3 linked regions of the Styela clava genome follow. The protein of the gene in region 1 purifies or fractionates together with the protein of each later gene. This does not show direct contact. Links are inferred from orthologs where the notes say so. Each region holds a gene or a part of one and is shown on either strand. Other genes may lie near its edges.

Region 1 (7,962 bases):
ACTCCTGAATATTGGTATTTAACCTCATCATACGATTTTGAGCGAGCTAAATCATTTACTTTTAAAGCAAAATTATATTTGACAGGAGTTTATAGTTTTGATCAAACAGTAAACATATACACTCATGATTCTCATGACCATATCTACCTGTAATAATCAAAACATGATGATGATGCTCTTCCAACTTGTTTATCCATATTTTTAAACGCTTGATTCCGGAAACCAGTCCTTTGGTGTTCTTTGCCCATTCCATATTTACTCCTTAATTCTTCAAAATATAAGTTTTCCGCAACGTCTCGACTGGCTTGTAGTTCGAATCTTTCTTGCTCTTGTAACTCTAGAATGGAGATATATTATTAGAGTATCAAAGTGTAGAAGTGGTGTTACAATGAGGTTTATTTTGATAGCACAAAACAAAAATGTAGATCGGAGTAAACTCATTTGGAGTAAGCCCATTTGAGCAAGAGTGATGACAGTCGCTATACTATTGATCTTATTTAAATGAGTTTTTGTTAAAGTTTGTGTGATTCGGGACTAAATAATTTTTATGAGATGCTTCACACCAGAGAAGAAAAGACATGAACATAGGAATCCATTAGATTAGGAAAAAACATACTTCATAAATTTAACATCTAATACCGCAATCATTGCATCTGAACCTAGGTTGGCCAGGACCCAGACTAGCAAACCAAGCAGTAATAAGAAGTGAAGATACATATAAGAAACTTTGTGAGCCAGAAATAAATTATAGCAGAGAATTTTATCTGTAGACGCATCTTAAAAATTTACTTATTAGTTACTACATAAACAACTTTTCAAATAGGCGAGATAACTTTGATACATTGAATTCTTTGCAATATAGTAACTTAATATACAAATCATACTTATAGCCAACAGCTCATCTTGTGTGTAATCAGATTTTACTGACATATGTCCCTGTTCATTGTCAATAAAATGAGACTCTGTATGAAAAGTTAGTTTGTCAACATTGTCAAATCCAGTTAATTGACAAACAGGACAACTTAATACTTCTGATTGAGATGAATCAACATTGTTACTACATTCTCCATTAACCTCACTCCCTGATGATGCTCCACACTCATCTGCAACAGATAGGATTTTGTAACACTATACTATATTTAAGCTTTAATTATCTAATATCCTGACTAAGGGGCTTTCAGTAATTATTGATAGGCCTATGAATGATTACGCCAGTGTTTTTCGAGCTTTTATGATCTGTGGCCGCCATTCAATGTATCTTTAACACTTGTGGCCCCCTGATCTTTTCAAAAAAGACATATTTTTGCTTCTTATGCGTTTCTGTTAGTTAGTTTATGCAACACATTCAATAATGAAAGGCCAACTAAAGTAAGAAAAATCCTATTACAATCAACAATTTAGGCAAATCTCTGTCAATTTACTGTGAATAAATGTAGTCACTGCTAATAGTACCTTTAGTCATGTCCTCCAGAAAACCAATTCATGGATCACTAGGGGAGGCTTAGGACCCAGTTTGAGAAACTTCATACTCTGTTTAGGTAACTTAACCAGAATTTACATTTGATATTCAAAGAGTATGTTAATAAATAAATCAAACTAATGATCAGACCTTTCGCACCTTCAGATTTTGCTTTAATAAATTAAAGTGGATACCTTTCTTTGGTGTACGCATTTCCTCCTTGTGAACATCCATTACATGGGTTTCCATCTTGTTTTCATCTTTATTGGAAACCACGTATGTACAAAATGGACATTTTGATTTGTCAATATCATTTTCCCTATTGCAAGTTGCATGATCCAATTCAATGTGCTTTGTCATTTCATCTTCAGAAAAATATCTCTGGCCACATATTAAACATGAATCACACCAACTTTCATCCATGATTTTGAACAGAAGAGTATTGAGTAAACATTTGGTGGGACAGAACTTATATTCAGTATATTACTAATCAGTAAACTAATCAAGTAATCACTGAATCATAAACACAAAGAATTATTCACCATTGCCGAATGTAGGCTTACTTGTCAATTAAAAAACACATTTGTATATGCACTGCATACAGCACATCATTAAAAACATGATGTTCAGATTCTTAACAATATTATTTTTCAATTTCGAAAACAGTACCAGAATAAGAAACCCTACGCAACATTGTATTTCAATTCCATGTATGAGTGTTCAATTAGCAATGTAAAATAGAATGTGCAACAGAAATTACACACTTAAATATGTAAATACAGAAATCAGGAAATGGCAAATTTTCAAAGTTCACCAACAGCAATACAGATCTAAAGCACTGATGGAAAAGTCCCAAAGGAATCGCTGAAAGTACACTATGACTATAGAATCAATCTTGCTCGAAATGCAAAATTAGCCTTTAGGACAATTTGAAAGCTACAGCATGATAAATACGTCTGTCTACACAGTATATCATATCATAATATAGTGAATTAAAAATACAGTTAATTGGTGGAATTTGTACAAAATGATGCCATAATGACAGTATATATGCAACATCAAACGAATATTTTGAATTAATGGTTTGTTCTGAGAACTTCTGACACTATTTCGTTCATTGGCTTATTGAGGAAGCGTCTTTGACAAATACAGGTGATTCCCCATCATTTTCTGGTACGAAGGAGTGTATGGAGTCACGAGTTGACAATATTAACGTCAAAATCTCTCATCCGGTTACCATTCCACGTCGTGAATGGGATTAGTTAGATAGCAGACTATATTTTTTTCAGATGCATGGAACCGATGGTGGAGAATGCTGTAACCGACAAGCGTTTATGTGACGGCGAGGAATCCAGCGGTTCTTTCACCACAGAGAGTCAGCATTGTCCCACACGATATTCGAACATGCGAACCACGCGGGGTAATCAGTGCGGTGGCAAGCGTGTCCCTAACCTGCTTTTGTTCGGTAATCGAAAAGTTTTGAATAGTTACCCATAAATTACCATACATTTATGCTGCCGACACACACACACACTGTTTTGCTAAATTCCCGTCCTTAATCTTGTTTGTATGTTTACGAGAAAAATCGCCATTTCTTAATTCCTGCTTACTTTCTGTTGCGTAGTGTCCATTGCCTGTTTAGTTTACTATGTGCTCGGCCTTGGTGATTACCGACAACGTTGAATAAATAAAAGAGTTTGATTTGAAAATTCCATAATCAAAAAATGGAGAATTCTGCAAAATGGGCAAAACCTTTATAAACACAAACCTGGTTAATTAAACTGTAGCGAATGTGCATTGTGTAACTATGAATTATAATGTATTTAACCCTTTCATTTTAATAGTGTGTTCCGTTTCCCACAATAGGTCATTTATTGTAGCAACACTGAGTACTGATTACATGTACTGCCTTTCTCGTATCGACCAATTTGATGACGTATCGTCCCGGCTTGCCGAGAGGGCTGCATAATATTGTGTTTGGATTCACTTCTGTTTTTACTGCGTTAGGTGTGATGTGTTTTGATCCACTTCTGTTTTTACTTCGTTAGGTGTGATGTGTTTTGATCCACTTCTGTTTTACTGCGTTAGGTGTGATGTGTTTGGATTCACTTCTGTTTTATTGCGTTACGTGTGATGTGTTCTGATTCACTTCTGTTTTATTGCGTTAAGTGTGATGTGTTTTGATTCACTCCTGATTTACTGTGTTAAGAGTTAAGTGTGTCTCAATTTTATCTGTTTCGGAATTTGGATTGTGCATCTTCCTATAATATACAACAACGATTAGCATCAACACTGTGCGCTTATTATCGTCTGAAGGAGTCCAGATTGGAGTCATATTCCATAACGCGTGTCAAAACAATAACGCGGGAATCGAACTTAAATATATAGGGTGATAGTCAATATCCCCAAAATCCATCTCATCTCTTTCTCCCTATAAAACCAGGCTTGGGTAAGAAAAATACACAAATGTATTGAACTTTCGGGCTGTTATACTTTTAAAACACTTAAGTTGATAATGACCAATTCAATCTGATATTGCCTTACTTTAATTGTCCTGGAAGGATTAAAAAAAACGGAAATTCCCATTCCCTTTTGAAACATTCTCCGCGATTACGCGGATTATTATTGTATTTAGTTTTGATACTTATTTTTGCGAATTCTTTATCGCCGTTAAAAAAATCTCAAGATCTGTGAGAAAATCCCATAGAGTACAATTAAATACATATAAAGTATATCAGTATATCAAAAATACATATTCATCGCCTCGAAATCCCCGCGGAACGACTTTTTCGACGGATAATTATGATTTTTCTGTTGTGCAAAGTAATCAATCCATAACCGACAGGGACATTGCCTTCAATTTAACCTGCGATTGCGTCGACAAAATGGAAGTATGATTACTCTAAAATACCACGGCAATCCGCGGACATGAAAATGTGTGGTAAACTGCCCGGTTATATATATCTAGTTTTGAATTTTGATAAATATTATTATACTCAGATTATTTTAAAAATAAAACCGTTAGAAAAATCTCTAAGTCTTCTATAAAATCTCATGGAGTAAAATTTATTTTAGTACAATAAAAATTGATTGAATATACTTTAATTAATTATCTTATAATAATATATATCATCACAACTTGGGAAAATATCAAAAAGAAGAAAGAGGTTCGAGTCTTAATACCAAAGTAAACAATGACAGCAAGAATATCTTTTAAAAAAAATTGTGTGTCTGCATGTATGAATAATTGTCCATTCCTCACTTGTAATAGCAATGGACTTTACGGAATTACTTTACTCAAAATTTGGCATTGGAAAACTAAATAATCACATAAAATCTGGAATGTATGAAGATATAATTAAAATAGAACACTTATTCATATTTGTTGATTTTTAATATTCTCGACAATTAACTTAGATTTCCAAGTTGTAAGTGAAGTTTTTTGAAAACATTGCATGAAATGTAGTAAACACAGAACATAATAAAAAATAACTGTTTGTTTATATAAGTATAAAGTATTGAACTACAGCATATCACATCTATGAAACCCCAGTGTTTCTATATTCAAAATATATGTGATATATATTAGTGAATTAATCGTTTGCAACGATATATATGACTAGTTCAGTCTGCGTCATCTATATCTGTTCATAGAAGCATAAATGATGCAATAAATCCCTCATATTTATTTTTAATGTTTTAAGACTATTTGGCAGGCTGCTAAAATATCCTAATCCATCAAATTTATAATGGTTGTCAATGTCAATGGAACTGGCACAAATTCCTGACTTGTGACGCTATGGTCGGAAGACTTCCATTTGTTTCTGAATTCATGTGAGTTAAGTTTTAAAGCTTGAGTTAAAAACATGTTTCCATCTGTAAAACTTTCAGACATTGGAGAGAGAGAGAGGGGACCAATTCCATCATCAACTGTAGTTGACGTACAACAATCTGTAAAGATCAAATCCTCGGTAAGTTCAGATCCTCTGGTTGGTGTAGCAGCTTCTTTAATAGTTTCATATCTATAGCAACTGATACATAACAAAGGCAGAGTGTGTATTTGCATTAAAAAAAATTGTATAATCTTCGATTTGATAACAAGGGAGCTATGCTCAAATACGTGAACACTGAATGTAGAACTAAATATTTTATCACCAATTCCCCAAAAATCATATGCGGTAACTGTATCAGGGTAACGGTACAGGGACTGTCATAGCTTTTCCAGATCCTGTGACGATGATCCATTCTCCATGATTCAGTTTCAACGTGAATTGAAATAGGCGCTGATCCGAGTCATTTCGTGTTACCAGATCAGGTACCGCAGTACACAGTTCGCGATAAAAAAACCTCCCACTTTAGAGGTCCTAAGATTGCCCCGATATTCGGATATATGAAACAAGAACAACAAGATGATGGAATGATAAAAAAAAAGATCCATATAACCACTTGACGAGAGGCACAACATTTTTTTTTTGCGAAGCGATTAGGGGTGTGAGTACGTTGTTGAAAATTGAGTAATTTTCCAATAAAAGTTAAGCTCTTTGATGTAGTTATTTGACAGTGGTGTCTATGTCTAGGAGCATTGCTCTCTTGTTTTTATCCATCTCAGTTAATGATTGGTGCTGTAACCTGAATTCGATCGTTAAAATAAAATAAAGCGTAAACATATGAACATGCCCTTTATTGGTTTTGTACACGGACTGACCTAAACCCAACAAAACGTTGAACAAACACTGTTTTATACCAATTTTCATTATTTGTTATATATTTACGTTCGAGTTGCTATTTGCAATGTGTGTCATTTTAACGACAAATGTTCAGAATAGTTCCCATAAATGCACAGTAATACGAGATGTATTCAAAACTGGTGGATATATATATATATGAATATAGATACAAATGAGTCATATAGGGAAATGTAGAATAGTAGCATCATGCGACATATAATGAAAATATGATTTGAAGCATAGAACTGTTTTACAATTTCGTTAAAATCAATAAACTTTAGTTCAGGTAGATATAAAACCCACGTGCTAGTTCAAGGTGTCCATATCGAAATAGTTTGATAATCTAGAATTTTCATAAGGTCAATTTCGCAAAACACTATGTCCGTTTGTGTAACGGTTAATAAAAATAATGATTTCGTGATGATGATAAAGTCATTAAACATAAAATAAATACCCTTCGTGGTTTTATACAAAATGAAATTCTCAGTTTGCAACGAATTATTCCATAAAATGATGTCTATAATGATTGATAAAACAGCTAGAAAAACGAACTAAAACATGGTAAATTTTATTGCATTATTATTGCAATTTCCGGCATTATTATCAAGACATACCAACAGTGAAGAACAGATAGTTTGGAGTTGACAGACTGAAATCTACGAGTAAATATGGAGGTACAGGGCACAGAATGTTAGAATCGACTCTTCGTTCCACATACGAATATGCATTGTTGTGAGATACTTTACGTTGAATCTGGTACAATAACACTGATCAATGTGCGCAAATTTGCAGAATTCATAATGTAAAACGACTTGATCTGGTGTTTTATCAGACGATCATTAATAGATTTCACTTTGGGAACTTATTTTCTACACTTTATTCGAAGTAAAAAGACAGACATTCATGCGCATATATGTTAACAAATATTAAAACAGAGCATTATCATACTGTACAGAGCTAACATACTATTTGATACAGCGGTGACAGTTATGCATAGACAAACATTTACAATAATAACTTGACAGACATTATACAGAACATAATATGGCCCAAGCATGAAATGGGATATCGAAGTATAATATTTCATTTAATATGACGGTTCATACTGAGCACGCGGAAGAGGAAATGGCAAAATATGCCAACAAAGAAGCACCACAAAAGAGCTTGCGCTAGGCAAATAATTTCGGGTTAGGCGGTAACCCAAAGCACCAATGTCTGAAGAGATAACGAAAGCATTTTAACAATGAAGACATCATAACTACGCTCTTCATTGAGCGACGGTCCGAAATAATTTATTTTCCCCATTATTCGATCAAAACCGCGTAACACATTCACTTAACTACGCCAAACAAAAGTTATTGGATTTCGCGTCATAAAGAAATTTAATGATTATACAATGACAACGGGATCTTGTTAAAGAGTCGTGTTCACAGCATTTATTTTTCTCGTAATGTGAATTTAGAGACAAATAGGTTTACCGTTAAAAAGGCTAATAGATTCATATATCCATCTGCATTATTTAGGTGTATGAGTTTACGATACTTACTGGTCTATGAAATTTTCTTACAATCGTCCTGGAATGTCAATTTTAACCCTTTGAGGGAGCACTCTTTAGAAATGCGTTAACAAGCGTCGACAAAAATGTATTTCCAATCTCTCGGTAGCGTGAAAATATTATCATAAAGGAGGTTTCAATCAGCTTAGGCAGTAAAACCTCAGATTATATATACGAGGTATGAAATTCCCACATAGCCTGTTTCGTAATCTTCATTTTTC
Region 2 (7,812 bases), on another chromosome or scaffold:
AAGAAGCAATGCTCAAATATATGGACACGGAATCTAAAACGCCGTATTACAGGTATGCAATCTGTGACAGAAGACTACCAGTACCAGCCGTTACGATGCCAAAAAACGGGGAAAGACAACCATCGTAATGCCATAAAAACGTGTTACAATAACTAAAAATTACACAGCGCATTTTAAATGAAATATCAGATCTCACAGAAAATGTAGGAACAAAAAATAGCCTTTTGTTTGCTAGAGATTTTACTGGATTGGTTACCGTACTCTCATTTTTAGCATCTTGTAAGAGCTTCTTTGTTTTCACATACTTCGTGCTCAAACAATTCCAGTAGTAACACGGCAGGTAAATGCTAGTTCAAAAGTCTGTAATTGTGAACTTGGTATACCATACAGTAGTCTGAATAAAACCCCTCTACTGCCCCATGATGTACGCGGCAGAAGCAAATTTTTCAAGATATTCTTCAGTAGTAGGCTTTGTATTTCAATCAATGTACAGCAACTTTGGTGATTAGGTTGTAAGAACTCAAGCATGAAGGTCTTCTTCAGCTGTAAGTGTTCAAATTGTGAACAACTGAAACAAAAAGTTATATACTCAGAATTCAGATACTTACTCTGTAATTGTTTGGGATCACAGTTTTTATCTAGGCATACCGGTAGTCTGGTAGTGTTATTACTTATTGAAAACTCAACGAATCTTACCTAATAGCTTTAAAAAAGAATAGCTACTCTTCTTGTAGCATACAGTACTTTATGAGCTAACTGTATCTATATTATTTAAGGTATTGATCCCTTTTATGTATTCACATATGTAGGCCTACGATACATCGTACATGTGTACGTTATTTTTACAAAATATACTACCATAACGCATCTGAAAACAATATTTTTATGAATTTAGAAACAAAACACCATTACATTGCGTTTTATACACAAGAAACATTGCAAGTCAGCCTTGGCGGGTTAACGTCCAGAGCAAAAAATCGCAAACGTCACCCCTTTTTGCACCGGCGAATGCGGAAATTGCAACAGGTCAAAGGTTATGAATATCCCTAATAGTAATAACGCGTATTTTTTTTACGCTATGAGTCTTTTCGGCTCCGTATCTTGTTACTTGAGTGTTCACCTATAACAGGGATGGCGAACCACTGACCCGCGGGTCACAAAGTGACCCACCGCGTTTCATTCGTGACCCGCCAAGGCACGAATAAAATAAAATAAATGCTAACATATCAGTGATAAAAATTGATAAAACCGGCCTTAAATTAATCTAACAATCAATTTTATAATGTACCGTCAGTTGCGCAGTCAGGGCCGCGATCGCTCATATTCAAATTGGTGATTATTCGGGTCGGTATGATAATTTTCAAAACCCTTAATCTTGGACGCATGTCTGCACCGCTGTGTACCGTTATTCAGCTATTGACTCTGACATCGTTTATGACATAACAATGCAGCCGACAGGTTCATTCGTCGCTACGTCTTGTCTCTTTAGGTCACAGTGTTTCCCAACCCGAGTCCGCGGTCTCAAATGAGTCCGCGAAGCGTTTGAATGAGTCCGCAACGAGTCAGAAATTCACTAAGGGCCGCAACATTTTTGTGAAATTTAACCATCAGTCAAGTTACGTTAGAATTTACATAAAACATAAAAATCAAGTTTATTCACATAACATTAATCGAGTCAATAATTACTGGTTACTGAGTAGGGCTGGGCATATATTCGAATATTCAACTATTAGAATAGCAATTTACTATTCGAAAATTTGGTAACAGGTGACGCAACAGGTCACTTGCGCGTCGCTTAATCAACGATTGGATTTCACAACTCACTTGCGGATATCCGACGAAAACACGAGTCGGCACACTCGTGGATAGATACCTAAGTGGTGTTTCTCGCGAGCTCGAACAACGAGAAATAATTTTTTTCTTCGTAGTTGTCAATGGTGGCGACCTAAATTCAAAAGCGCAATACAAAATACTAAAAATAGAAGAACGGAGTACATCTTAGGTTCTGTTTTATGATGACCCGCGGCCGATTAAAAACGCGTTTTAAGACATAGCAAATTCGGGTGCTACCTTGCCGTGGCATTTTGAAGAAGAAATGCTTTCATTTTGTCATAGGTCGACGCAACCGCGAGTGACTACGAACACAATTAAATTAAAATAGAAAGACGTTTTAAATTCTCGTTGTTGTCATGGATTGAATATTGTGCGACAGAAAAGGCCATTTATACGCTAAAAAGTCGACTCTTTTAACAAACGCGTATTGCAGCGAATTTCCGATTTTGAAATTCGTTAAAATTCTGTTATGTTTGGTACTTCTTCACACAGAGTACGTCTGCAATAAACGCACGTTGAGTCCGCAAAAGTTTTCGCCGGTGAGAAAATAGTCCGCGACCAAAAAAGATTGGGAAACGCTGCTTTAGGAAGTGCATCTACAGACTGTTTTAGGAGTTATGCGAGAACTAGATGCTACTTTGTATCTTATTAATTTCTTGCATACGATGCCGTTAAGAGAACAAAATCTTTCAGACTTGAAATAAAAACCTAAAAATCTGAAACAACAATGGGGCAGTGTAAAAGTGACTTAATGTGGTTGAAAGCTGATCGAAAAATATAACACTATCAGAGTGGAATTTCCTCCAAATTTTTTGGAACCGTAAAATAATTTGCCGCATTATCCTAAACATTTTTGGTAATTCATATGCGTGTTTTCGTACTTTAAGTTCATAAAATCGAGTGCCATGAAAAGTCCCTGATAGAAGTGCTGCATAAGTAAAGCCCAAAACTACGCCAACACCAACAGAAGCAGAAGCTTATAAGATTTGTTTCAGAAGTTTCTTATATATACAATCATTGATCAAATATCTGTGACCCACTCTCTTCTGTTCCGCGATAAAAATATAATTTTTGACCCATTCATTGAAAAAGGTTCGCCATCCCTGACCTATAACTTCCCTCAGATATCAGTCTTCATTATTTAAAAGTGAGTAGGTGTGATCTTACCATAAGCAAATAATTATGTGCGAGAGGGTTGCTGGACTCCTAGCCGTAGGGTGGTTCACGTAATCGCTGGTCGGTTACGGCTTCCCCTACCACCAAGTCCATACATCTGAAAACTAATAACTGGCTAACTAATCTCATACCCGACATGGACTGGTAACCCAGCCGTGGTTCGCCATATGATTGAGCCGACCAATGGAGGATTCATTCTCACCCTGGATAAATATGTAAATCCTGACCCAACTTACCGGTAATAATCCGGTAAACTTTCGAATCCGGCACCTCTTGTGCTTTAGCGGGAAATCTTGTAAACACAGCAATGGTTCATCACGCTGCACTGTCTGTTGTCTGACGTCTGTTGTAGTCACTTTGACTGTACCGTACTTCTGACAAAATTTTTGAACGGCCATATCTTGGCTAAAACGCGCCGTATATTGCTAATTTTAATTATTATAGGTTGCGCTGTTATATCTACATCTATTCTCATCTTTTTTAATGTTGCATAATTATTTTTTTGGTAAAAAAACGGAAATTTTGCCGAAAATTGCCTGCCCGGCATTCAACGGCGCATAGCGTCGCTCCTACTGAAGCTATCATCGTCAAAATACCATCATTCGGTAGAGGGCGACAACAATGTATATAATTTATTTAAGTGATCGCAGGATGTCGTACGAAATTCAAATAAAACCTAAAATTCTGAATTATAAATTCCGTAAGAATATTAAGATTTCACGCAGCGTCAAAAATTACGTCAACCTCACGTAGATTATTTTTCGCTCACTTCCGACACGACGTCACACTGCGTCACGGAAATGAATTTTGACGCCAGACACAACGGAGCCAATATGACAATTTCCGTTAAGATAAAGACGGCGTTCCAATGTAATATTTTTGTATTTTGTTCGGTCATGTATGAATATATGCCAAAATTACATTAATAAAAATACATGTCACACTTAATCGATGACGTTAAAATCGGACATACAAAACTATGATAATTCCAACGTCCATATGGCACAGTGCACTGACTTAACCATTATTTTATGATTAGTAGTCGAAATGACAGTTATTGAATACTGCCTGGCTGAATTTTATTCACTCGAAATTAAAAATAAATTTATCTCCAACAAATAAACGGGACCTACATGTTTACAAGATTAAGTTGAATTTTAAATTAAACTTTACAATCGAATTTACCGTGTGTTTGATATAAATTATCATTTATAAAGATAACCGCGCACGATAAAAAAAAACTATCCGTCGAGAATATTAATACTTCAAAGACTTCGATAGAAGCCCGTTAAAATACTTCATTGCGGATTGAAACGATTTGCATCAGATATATTTACGTATGCATTTCCTGATTAAAATGACTAACGTGTTATTATACTCATCTGAAGTATCGAAAATAACGAACGAAAGATGTAAACATAGGACGACGGAAGTTTCAAATAATGCATTTTCGTCGTGACATCAATGTTACGTTACGACGACGATCGAGCGTCTTATCTTCACGCAACGACGTGATTACGCCATCCGCATCGGAAGCCTCTTTCTCTCTGTGCGTCGCGGTTACGCAGTGAAGAAAATGACTGTCCGAAGTTAGGGCAGTGAAGGATAACGGTCAGATGGCAAGAAATATCGATTATTTCAATAGTAAAAATAGTCCAATTGAACCGAAATTTGCAAGGAATGTAAATTACCGCACGAATGTTTTACCGAGTAATTTTGGCACCTTTTGGACAATAAATGGCCAAGTTATTGACGAAAATATAGTAATTTTGTCCGAAGTTAGGCGCTTTTACGGTACCGGTACTACTGTACTAGCTCTAATTTTAACTTCGATACAACTAGAAGGGCTGTTCACAAATTCATAGGATTTACCGGTACATACAGAGGCTACCATATTTAGTTTTTACCAGTGCTGCAGTGAGTGAGACAAGAATAAATTATCTGTCCACGATCAGATATGGAAGAAGCATTTGCCGGACCTAGGCCACGTCTGAATGCATCATTGCTACCAAAATACACAGAAAAATATGTCACTGTAGTTGGGACTGTCGATGCTGGAAAGGTAACTACAGTCTGACAGTACCTTTGTGTATTTCTGTATATCAATACCGGTACCGGTACTGATGATATAATTAATGTAATTCAGTATTTTTTTTTCAAATAGGCCTACTGAAATACCAAGATATGTTTTGAGTTGTATAATTTAAGAATTTCACACTGGATGGATGTAGAAATGTTGACTGAATCCTCTAGAACAGTGTTTTTCAACCTTTTTCGAGCCAAGGCACACTTTTTTCGGTGAGAAAATCCCGCGGCACACCACCAGCTGAAAATATGGCGAAAATACCTACCCGTAATATTCACAATATAAGTGTTATATTGTAAATATAAGATTTTTAACATTGAAGAAAGATGTTGAATTGGACATCTTGAATAGTAATCAAATAAAAACAAAGACAAAAAAAATCGCCACCAGATGCTGCCACGGTCTGATATAGAACAGTACCACACGATTACTCTGCCGGACGCTACACCGCACAGACACACAACTTGGAGAAATTCCCACGGCACCCCTGACAATATTTAACGGCACACCGGTGTGCCGCGGCACCCCGGTTGAAAGACACTGCTCTAGAATTACCGTAAAGAAATTCTGGATTTTCATTTATTTCTCTAATTCATGAAATACAGAAGTAGGCTTAAATCTGTAAAGTGATGCACTCAACAAATACTGTAAAAACTAAAATCAGACAATATCAATACCACAGCATGTAAACACATTTCCACAATTTTAACCTAATTTTATAGCTGCATGTATTCACTGGTTTCTGGGTTTTGATTAGGGTGTTGTTACTCTGACATAGCCTACTAGTAATTTTCATTGGTTCCTAACACTGTAACAGTCTGATCTAGTATATTACCGTGCTGAAATAGCAGACCTCCAGATAGCATGGTTTGAAGTCCTAAACTTCTGCTCCGCAATTTTTGAATTATTCTTTGCCAATGGCATAGCAAGATTATCAAAACCCAGAAACCTTTGTTTTTTTGTGTAATTCCTTATTCTGCTATTGGGTATCATCCGTTACGAACAACCACTATTATAAAATTTTCTGATTTCTGGATATAATACAATTTAGCAATTAACTCTTAATTATTGGGCTAAATAGTTTGTATTATAAATACTGTCGAGTTCAATGGTCGAAACGATGTAAAATATGAATACATTTACTCTTATGTGGTTTATTTATTTCAGATATCCCCAGATGGAAATTCATTTGTATTGAAAGATGGTGCAGGAGAAAATATTCAAGTTGTCTTAGATTCACCGGTAAGAAGTATTGACCAATCATATCACTGGTTTTCCTTTTCACACACTTTGAAATCGAGAACTACTTTATGCACCCCCATCTAGAAGTCAGGGAAATAATATTGTGATCATATGAAAATAGCAAAACAATAATATTCCCCTTTTTCAATATTTGTGACACTAAAATGCTGTATCACTAAAATTAGATTTAGATATATTTGCAAACATAATGTTTTGATTAAGGTAAAGCATAAGTATTTATAGTGTATCAGTTAAAGTGTTTAGGCTCAGTGACTTCTTTTGAAGTTACTCCAACAATGATATCCGTTTATAAGCTGTTTTTTTTAAGCAAACTCAACAATTAAAAATTTTGGCACATCTGGTTAATATTATGTATGTTACTTGTTTCTTGAGATATGTCCCAAAGATAAAACTAATCGAGCATTTTACACAGAGTTCTTTACTAACTAATTGTAGATTTAATTAACGCTAATTGTCGAAAATCAACGATTAGTTTCATCTATTTTATTTACAATTACTTGAAATTCAGTTTCACAAATGTATCTATTCTATGTTTTTAAAATTGCATTTTCAATTCCAAAATTTTGGCAAAACTAACTGACAAGTCATTATCGATATTCTCTTACTATTATACAGCTGGCTGATATTATTGAAGGTGTCGTTGAAGTCACTGGAAAAGTTGACAGCAAGTGTAACGTACATGGGGTGATGTATCGCGTGTTTGACTCTGAAGGAAAATTTAGTAAGTTGATATTCAGAGAGTACCAACATGTTCTAATGTTGTTTCGGAGCCTAAAATTTGAAATAATTATTTTTGCCAAAATAAAATCTTGACGAGCATAAACATATAAAAATAGTATGCGATTTGTCCAAAACCAATTTGTCCAATTTATTACATTGTTGTAATTGTTCCAGATTGTTACCCACACAAGAACTTGGCCCCAAGAAAATCTTGATATCCAGATTGGGGTGCTATGTGAAAATATTTTTTGAAACGTTTCGAACACTAATTTAAAAAATGGGTGGGCGAACTTCTGAATCAAAAATATCATTTTCTGTTTTTTTATAGCATAATCCTATAGCTTCAATCAACTGTTTTCTTACAGACATGGAACTCTACAACACTTGTGTGAAACTAATTCATGATTTCCCACAGTACTATGGGCAGAAAGCATCATGAAAGCCTATGTTTATTAACATTTCGTCAGTGTCAAAGGACGTCTCCATTCGATGTTATTTACAACCGGCTGCAATTGTATCCACTTAATGTTGAAATTGATCGCATTTTCTTCATTATTTCTTTCAGTTATAGGGTCATTTTCTATCCTATTTTTTTTATTTTAGCATTCGTTGCATGTGTTTTTTTTGTATATGAAGTTCTTTCTGATTTAAGGATTAAAAGAAACATGTCATGCCTGAAACTTTGTTTCATGTAGTCACGTTAATAACAGATTTGCGTAAGTCGTTTTAATCAT
Region 3 (7,987 bases), on another chromosome or scaffold:
GGCGGCGGTTCGTAATATGGTTGAGCCGTCTTGTCGGCTTTCCTCTCCCCCGGGATGAATATGTAAATCCTATCCCATTCTAACAGGGCGAGAGGCCGCAGTTCGTCATATGATTAAGTCAATTTATCGGTCTTCCTTTCCCCGAGATGAATATGTAAATCCTATCTTTTTTTGCACGTGCAATCAATGACATTAAGCAACATGATGCGCAACTACGGCATTTTTGGCCGAAGATCGTATCCGATAGCACGCTCCAATGCACATACTTGACGAGACGAAAACGAGCGGATGTGTGCTGCTTTCAAGGCATAGCACGAATGGTGTTCGTGCCGGCTTTGACAGTTGTTGTCGATTTTAATGATATTTTGGAAAGTTGAGGTAAAAGGAAATCGGAAAAAGGTAAGGTAAATACTATTGTTGTATATCACACCCGGGCATCGCACTGTTAAGTACATAAGGGAAAGCCAGCTTTTGTCAAATACTACGAAGTTATTAATTCAGTACGGTACGTAGTTGCCCATTTGCCGAAATTGCATATTTACTTACCCCGTATGGTTTCAAATAGTTCATGCACCTCCATTTAGATTTTTTTTAATCAGTGAGGATTGAATCAAAGGGTTAACAATTTCACCTAACATTTCACTCATACCGGTCTGTATTGTATAGTCTGATCTCTCAAGTATATGGAGCCACGAATGCTTGTAATTTTCTGACTAATTTCCTGTATTAGTTGGTTTATATACCAAATTCAGTAAAACATTTTTTACATTAAACATGAGATATTGGATTTATTAGCTTTTCCATTCTAAATCATATAGACTGCTTCATTTATTCTTGACGAAAATTAATAAATCTCCTCTCTTTCTTTTCTTCAGATGTGAATGTGGACAAACCTGTCTAAGCATTGTGAGACTCCTGCAGCACAAGAGGCAATAGCAAAAATAGTAAGTATATCAATCAAGAAATAAAGCCGACATAAAGCAAAAGTTTCAACAAATCGTCTAATCTCAATTTCCTATTATTTATCCACAGGACAACTATAGCAGAAAAGGAGATATCAGAAGTCTGGTGACATATCAGTGACCGTGTGATTGCAAGAAGTATATTTAGAGTACTCCATAAATGTTTGCAATACAAGAACAACCTATAAAGGCATGCAAAGACATTTGACCCTCCGATAGAGTTGTGTATGCCCCCCACATCCTGCAGGGCTTAAGGAACATAACAAAAAATTCTAAAGCGTGAGTATGCATAATAGATTTTTCAAACCTTTTAAAGTGAAATTGATTATTCACACAGAAAACAATTTACTGAAAGTAGTTTTGGAAAATTAATTTTTTTTGTTCACATTTTGACCCAATTAAGAATACACATCAAGCTAGCAAAAGAATACTTGAATAAAACACTTGAGTGATTAAATTAAACGCAAAGTACATGAAGAAGGTGGCATTTTCAAAGAAAATGAGAGTTGCAATATTTCTGCATTTCACAAAATTCTGAAGCACATTGAACAGAAAATTTTCATGTGTTTGTATATTAATATAATTATACAACGACTTAGTTACTAAAATCAATATCAATAATAATTCAAGCAATCCAATGCCACGCAATGTGGTGCGAAATGTCTTGTCGAAAAAATCTGTCATGTGTTTTTTTACTGATCTCTACATGAAATTATAAAAATAACTTTTTTGCATTACTGGAATTAATTTTCGCAAAGATCCAAATTAGCCCATGATCATGTGACCTCGTTAGTTAGAGTTGGTACTATAAAATCATTTCAGCCTGGCCTCAGTATGCTGGTGACACAAAAAAAGATACCAAACGTCAGGACAAATGTAATTAAAAAATCATTGAGTTTATACTGTAGTATTTTTGTTAATTTTAGGTCCATATATTTAAATTAAGTAATTTTTAAAGTATGTATTATTCTTTCCTTATCCAAAGTTTGTTCAAAATGATTTTGATGGATGTACATAGAATTTTATGATTTTTTGTAATAAATACAGTAACTTGCAATAATAGTGGAATGCAAATATTAATATGTAATTGCATTTGAAATTAAAGAAAATAATGAAACTTAATCCAACTGTTTAGTTGCATCACAACATATGTCACAAACTAAAACTATCTTAAAAATATCTTTCAAGTATACATTATCAAAAACTGTTTGCGGCCCTTTTTACAATTTCCAAAATGCAATGCGGCTCTCGAAAACCCATGAGTTTGACACCACTGATCCATTCTAGACGATTCAAGCATTGCTTTGGGAAATAATATCAATTCAATTAAATTGAAAAAAATCTTGCTATATTAAATACAAAATCGTTGCTATCATAAAGGTAAACTAATTCAGCCACTCGAAATATATTGGCCTTCACAAAGTAATGGAGGCAAAATTGAGAGTTCATGAGCTATGAATTTTTGTTCTTTTCTTTGTCTTGAACTTTTCATACTCCACAGCCGCTATTATTTTTTTTTAATTTTAAATACCATGTGATTGTCATACATATCTTTAACTTTTTACTCACATGTCTGTATGTGGAGAGTGATGAATACAGTTCGTTTTCTAAGGATCTCGTTGCCTCTTTACTTTGGTTGTGCAGTTACTAGAAGCTGGGAGATTGCGCATAATTCTTCAAGGTGGGGGCGGATGCAAATAGGACTCCACTACAACAACGTTGAGTGGATTGGAATTCACGTTTCAACTTTACAATAGATAAAAACGAAAAATAAAAGTAACTGATTATAGAATCGGGAAATCTCAAGTAAGTTTTGAAGCGTGCCAATTTTAGATGGAAAGGTATTGATAAAAGAAATAGTACGTGTTCGCTCACCCAAAAGTAAAAAAAGTAATTAAGGCACGCACGCACACACACGCACACAATCATCGAGACATGATAAGGTCGGAAGTGAAAAAAGCGAGAATTAAAATCAATCAAATTACTCAGTAAAAAGAAAAATATACAAACAAATGAAAAAGAAGTAAGTAAACTCTTTTACCACATCAAATTAATAATTTTATGAGGGTTGCCAAATTGGATACCGAATTAGCCAACATGAATAATATACTGTGGATAGAAAAGTATTCCTCGTCAAGCTGATTATAATTGGAGTCACTTAATGCGAAATTGCCCCATTAGTATTGCCAAGTTGGATATATGAAGAAGTGGGCTATACCTGCTTCACTGACCAAATAGAAGCCAAAACTAGCCAAATTAGCGTCCAAATAATTTTAAATACTAATAATCAATGACAGTACAGGTAATTATAAGTAAAATTAATTAGGGCGTGATTATGTTTGTATTTCAAGTTAATCGATTAAATATTTTTTTTTTCAATATGTATTAGAATTGATATTTGATTTACTTTATGTCCCACCAATGATCTAATCAAAATATTTTTTATAAAATAAAAAAAAAGTCAGTTGGTACTTGCTACTTGGTACATCTATTTTTACGCGTGGGAATTTTCTTCTTTGACTGAGATCAGAGGTATCTCTGCCTATTGCATCTGCACGGCGTAACGTTAAAAGGAATGCATTAACACGAGGTTTCAGGGATTACCGGTTTAACTTTCATTTTCTTTCTCGTAGTCTACACCTAACCTATATACCGTATCGTTATCAGTAATACTGATGCTCCGGTGACCAGCGATTTTGCATCAGTATATCTCATTCGACAGCGCAAGTCTAAAAAAGTATGATGAAATTAAAACCGGAACGTTTAGATTTTTATGCCAGAACTACGTCATTTCAAAATAGATTTTATTTCGATTCATTCGCAAAAACAAATTAAACATATGTTCAGGAAAGATTGAAGGCAAAGAAGCTGGGAAGTGAATAACACTAATAAAATAAGTTTAAACCCTATTAGGCGCGTTCACTCACCGACATGGCGGACTGAAGAAGAAAGCAAGAAGTCATACAGTCATAGGCTGAACATGAATATTGACGGAGGCCATTACTCAGGCGTTTCACTTTGTAGTCAGGTTGCCTGCAAGTTTTTTTATAAACAAAACTGTGAACTAAAAACCAGCTGTGTGTGTAATGTCAGAACTGCAGTATGTGGCATTTACACAAAAAATTCTAAAATGAGGTTTGAATGCATGTTGTCGTTCCATTACAGGACTACTAATTGACTTCCAAGTTATGATCAATTTGCATTATTAGGCTTCCCGCTGCTTGTCATGATTAATGGACATGTTCCGGATACGATATGTCAAGGATACGCATGAGTGACCTCGGCGATACGCTCCAGTGAGCACTATAGGATTTTACATTTTCATCTTCTTCTCGAGAACGACACTACTTAGAGACTTGAAATTTACATCACATGCAGATAATAAGTCCCCCATCATAAATTGCAAATTTTATGTATGACTGACCACGCTTTCACGCTCCAGTGAACAAAACGCGTTTTCAGTTTTTTTGCGATTTCTCAAAATTGATACATGCTATTGGGTTGAAATTCATAACAATGATTAATGGACATGTTCCGCATACGACATATCAAGGATACGCATGAGTAACCTCGGCGATACGCTCCAGTGAGCAATATAGGATTTTCATCTTCTTCTCGAGAACGACACTACTGAGAGACTTGAAATTTACATCACATGCATATAATAAGTCCCCCATCATAAATTGCAAATTTTATGCATGACTGACCACGCTTTCACGCTCCAGTGAGAAAAACGCGTCTTCAGTTTTTTTTACGCGGGAAGTCTGTAAAAGCTGCACGCAGCTCTAGTTTACAAATAATATTCCCGCGAATTTTATATTCTTTTGTTCATGTATGCTGTTTAAGACTTTATTCTTGTGATGTGTTCTTCCATTCATGAAAATGTGGGTTAATCGGCACTAGCGCTGGTTCCATCTCATTTTCGTAGAATTCTAATTTTTATTTCTTGAAGATGGAAGTAGTTGACTGAATAAATGTTCTGAATTACTATAATTTTCAATCACAAATTTTTATGTCACAGCTCATACGCTTCAGTATAGTGATATACATAAAAACGTATATAGACCTACGATTTTTACAAAGTACAAAAGGATCAAGTGGTGTGGTAATTTGCTCACACATGTCGAAGTCCAGCATCCACTTTATTGTTCAGAAGTCACCTGCTAATGAAGAACAATTTCAAGAGAAGTAATATGGAATTTCTCTATTTTATAAAGTTGTTTTAGCCTTTACTTAGAATGGTATTTCATATTTATCCTGTCATATAGAAATATAGTAAAGAGTAAAGACGGCTCAATCATATGTTAATCATGTCACACCCTTTGGTTACCTATGTTGGGTATGGGAGTAGCTGAGAATTTTTTGCTTCAGATGCATGGACTTGATGGTCGAGGATGATGTTACTGCCCAGTTGTTACATGAAGTGCTAAGAATACAGCAAGCCTCTTGCACATAATTATTCCCCCAGTGGATTTGAATCCATGTTGCTTAATGGTGCAAAGGCAAGTATGTTCTAAGCACACGCAACCTCTGTGTAATTGAATCGGTTTTAAATAGCTCATCAGATAGTGCAAAATTAGTGTGTTCTATATTAAATTGTTGTTTTGTCGGTAATTAGAATCAGTATGTTGTATGATACTTGAATGTGTGTTCTGTAATTTTTTCATTAACTTGTAAATAACGATAGAAAACTTGTTTTCCAGGTTACAGGCTCTCAGTGAAAAGAGAAGTTTCTATGCACCGTCCATCGAGGATGTACCACCAGTCCTACAAGAACTTCAACAATATGAGATAAGGTTTGCCCTGACCAAATATTATCTATGTCTAATATGTTTCATGTATTCAACTCACTTATCTGTGATAGTAACCAGTAATTTGATAGTTTCGGCCAGGCGTAGCTAACGTCTTTTGCTGGATGGCTCAACACTGTATTTTCATCATGAAAAAGAGGAATATGGGTCATAGATTCATCCACAGTCTGCATCAATGAGGAACTTGCTGTTTCGTTCCACAAGTCTTAATAATCCTAAATAACTCTTAATGAAGCGATTTTTGCTACTTGACTATTTAAAATTCATGTGGGAAAACAATAATTAATGTGAATCGAAAAGCATTAATAACGTCAAGAGTTGAATTACTTTGTTACGTCGTGAATATCGTTATTGTTGGTAGTAACTGCATACCCAATAATATATATGCCACTCATTTGTCTCTTACACTCTAAACAAGTCTCTGTACAAGCCGCCACTGATATCTTGTTTTATATATTTTTATTATCAGGCAATGTGTGGTTTCATCGAAGCATATTGCTTTTCTTCTCGAGGATGGAAGAGTCTGTCGGGTAAAATATTTTGCCCACGATCCACAAGAAGAACCTGAAATTGAAGCAACTACTACCACAGCTACATCTGGTGCGAGTAAATCAACATCTACAAGTAAAACAGGTGAGATATCAGTTTATCTGTTTATGGTATAATATTTTGATAATTTCACATACTATAATAAATCATATGGAAAGAATAACTTTCACTTTCATATAAGTGTAGCAAACTGAAGAATAGTTGATCAAACCTTTTCAACTTTTGAACTTTCAAGCATTTATAGAGTCTGATTCAAAATTCTTAATTTGTTTGTATTGCGGACTTTCAATGGTGATAAAGTGAAACAAAACTTAAAAAGCATTAATTTCTATTAAAGAAAGCACATATATGCGAATGTTGTTTTTTTTAATTTGATTTTCAAAGTCGAAATTCTTCAGAATTCTGGATCTGAATCAGATTGATAATATTTCTCAACTCTGCGTTATTAGAGCTAAAGCTTTGTTCAATCCTGACCCAAAAGTTGAAGTCGATTGTAAATTTTCTCCGACTCCACAGTTCTGGTTGTTAGACTTATGTTTTGAATTCAACACAGAATGTGTTGGTGTCATTGTAATTAAATAACTTAATATTTCATCTTTAATAATTTGTCCTTCGTATATTCAATTTTAGGAGAGAGACCACCGAAACTTCCTCGAACAGGTAGCACACCATGGATAATATCAGGCACTGATTTATCCAGTGGCCATTCATCTGCTCTACGAAGATGGGGAACACATATTGGGGTGATTCGTTCGATCGCGTCTTCTTCTGCCACCACCAATTCATCATCAGTAACATCAGCGAGCACAACAACTGCTCGACATCGAGCAAGAAACAGCGGCTCAGATGCAGCGTCTTCTCTAAGCGCAAGCGGAGTGAGACTTGTAAGAACTTCTCAGGTAAGAGTGAATTCATTGTGAGGTTGAATTTTGATTAAAAATTTTGTGTACAGTGCTTTTCGATATCTTGCTCAAAACAAGCATTTTTTGGAAGGACTGAAATTTGTCTATTTGTCTGATCAGGCATTGTACACTTGATTCATTATTGAGCATTGTATTTGTACTTAAGTGTGTAACCTGCGATGTCAACACACTTAAGTCGTTGCTCCAGAAGTATGTGTGTACCAAACTACCAATATGGAGGTTACTAATTTTGTTCGCCTACTTTACATCAAGTTATGTAAAGGGACTGAAACCTATGGGCAGGGGGTATATTCACTTGGATAACACAGACAATCCCTGAACTTGTAATAGAACTAAAATACGGAAAATCGGAACAAAATTATGGCCTAACCCTAACCTGGTACACACACTACAGCAGTACCCTTAAGTCTAATGGTTTAATGCCAAGTGTTCTGAGTTGTGCACCTTAATCCATATGAAAAGTTGATTTGACTCTTGACAGTACATAACAATTTTTGTATCAGTATGGAATTAGTTACTATCAATGTTTGGATGCCTATACTTGATTTGGATTACCAAATTAATAGAATTCTTAAATTGAAATAAAAAACATAAATATAATTCTCAATTTTGCTGATTTTGCGAACAATGTTCTATAAAACACAGGTTTACTTGGGGAATACCACAAAGCAAATGTTTTTATAAAAAACTATCATAAAAATTTTGTTACAAGTGGGAACATTTGCAGGTAAAATGAGTTACG

The links. The genes of interacting proteins can lie anywhere in the genome.
Region 2: the proteins of zinc finger-containing ubiquitin peptidase 1-like (region 1) and replication protein A 14 kDa subunit-like purify together in Homo sapiens (affinity purification with western blotting; 3 studies listed by BioGRID, with this or other methods). This does not show direct contact. The link is inferred for Styela clava from reciprocal best matches to the Homo sapiens genes ZUP1 and RPA3.
Region 3: the proteins of zinc finger-containing ubiquitin peptidase 1-like (region 1) and E3 ubiquitin-protein ligase UBR5-like purify together in Homo sapiens (affinity purification with mass spectrometry, with the first as the bait; 3 studies listed by BioGRID). This does not show direct contact. The link is inferred for Styela clava from reciprocal best matches to the Homo sapiens genes ZUP1 and UBR5.

What each region holds. Positions count from the first base shown.
Region 1 is NC_135251.1:18,599,712-18,607,673, reverse strand, and holds the start of zinc finger-containing ubiquitin peptidase 1-like, read right to left. Parts: upstream 3,007-7,962; 5' UTR 1,883-3,006; coding exon 1,654-1,882; intron 1,104-1,653; coding exon 885-1,103; intron 338-884; coding exon 148-337; intron 1-147. UniProt on the Homo sapiens protein: Deubiquitinase with endodeubiquitinase activity that specifically interacts with and cleaves 'Lys-63'-linked long polyubiquitin chains. Shows only weak activity against 'Lys-11' and 'Lys-48'-linked chains.
Region 2 is NC_135261.1:16,318,848-16,326,659, forward strand, and holds replication protein A 14 kDa subunit-like, read left to right. Parts: upstream 1-4,812; 5' UTR 4,813-4,966; coding exon 4,967-5,071; intron 5,072-6,262; coding exon 6,263-6,337; intron 6,338-6,973; coding exon 6,974-7,079; intron 7,080-7,443; coding exon 7,444-7,517; 3' UTR 7,518-7,758; downstream 7,759-7,812. UniProt on the Homo sapiens protein: As part of the heterotrimeric replication protein A complex (RPA/RP-A), binds and stabilizes single-stranded DNA intermediates that form during DNA replication or upon DNA stress.
Region 3 is NC_135263.1:5,825,758-5,833,744, forward strand, and holds the start of E3 ubiquitin-protein ligase UBR5-like, read left to right. Parts: upstream 1-4,987; 5' UTR 4,988-5,082; coding exon 5,083-5,150; intron 5,151-5,665; coding exon 5,666-5,758; intron 5,759-6,242; coding exon 6,243-6,406; intron 6,407-6,952; coding exon 6,953-7,221; intron 7,222-7,987. UniProt on the Homo sapiens protein: E3 ubiquitin-protein ligase involved in different protein quality control pathways in the cytoplasm and nucleus. Mainly acts as a ubiquitin chain elongator that extends pre-ubiquitinated substrates.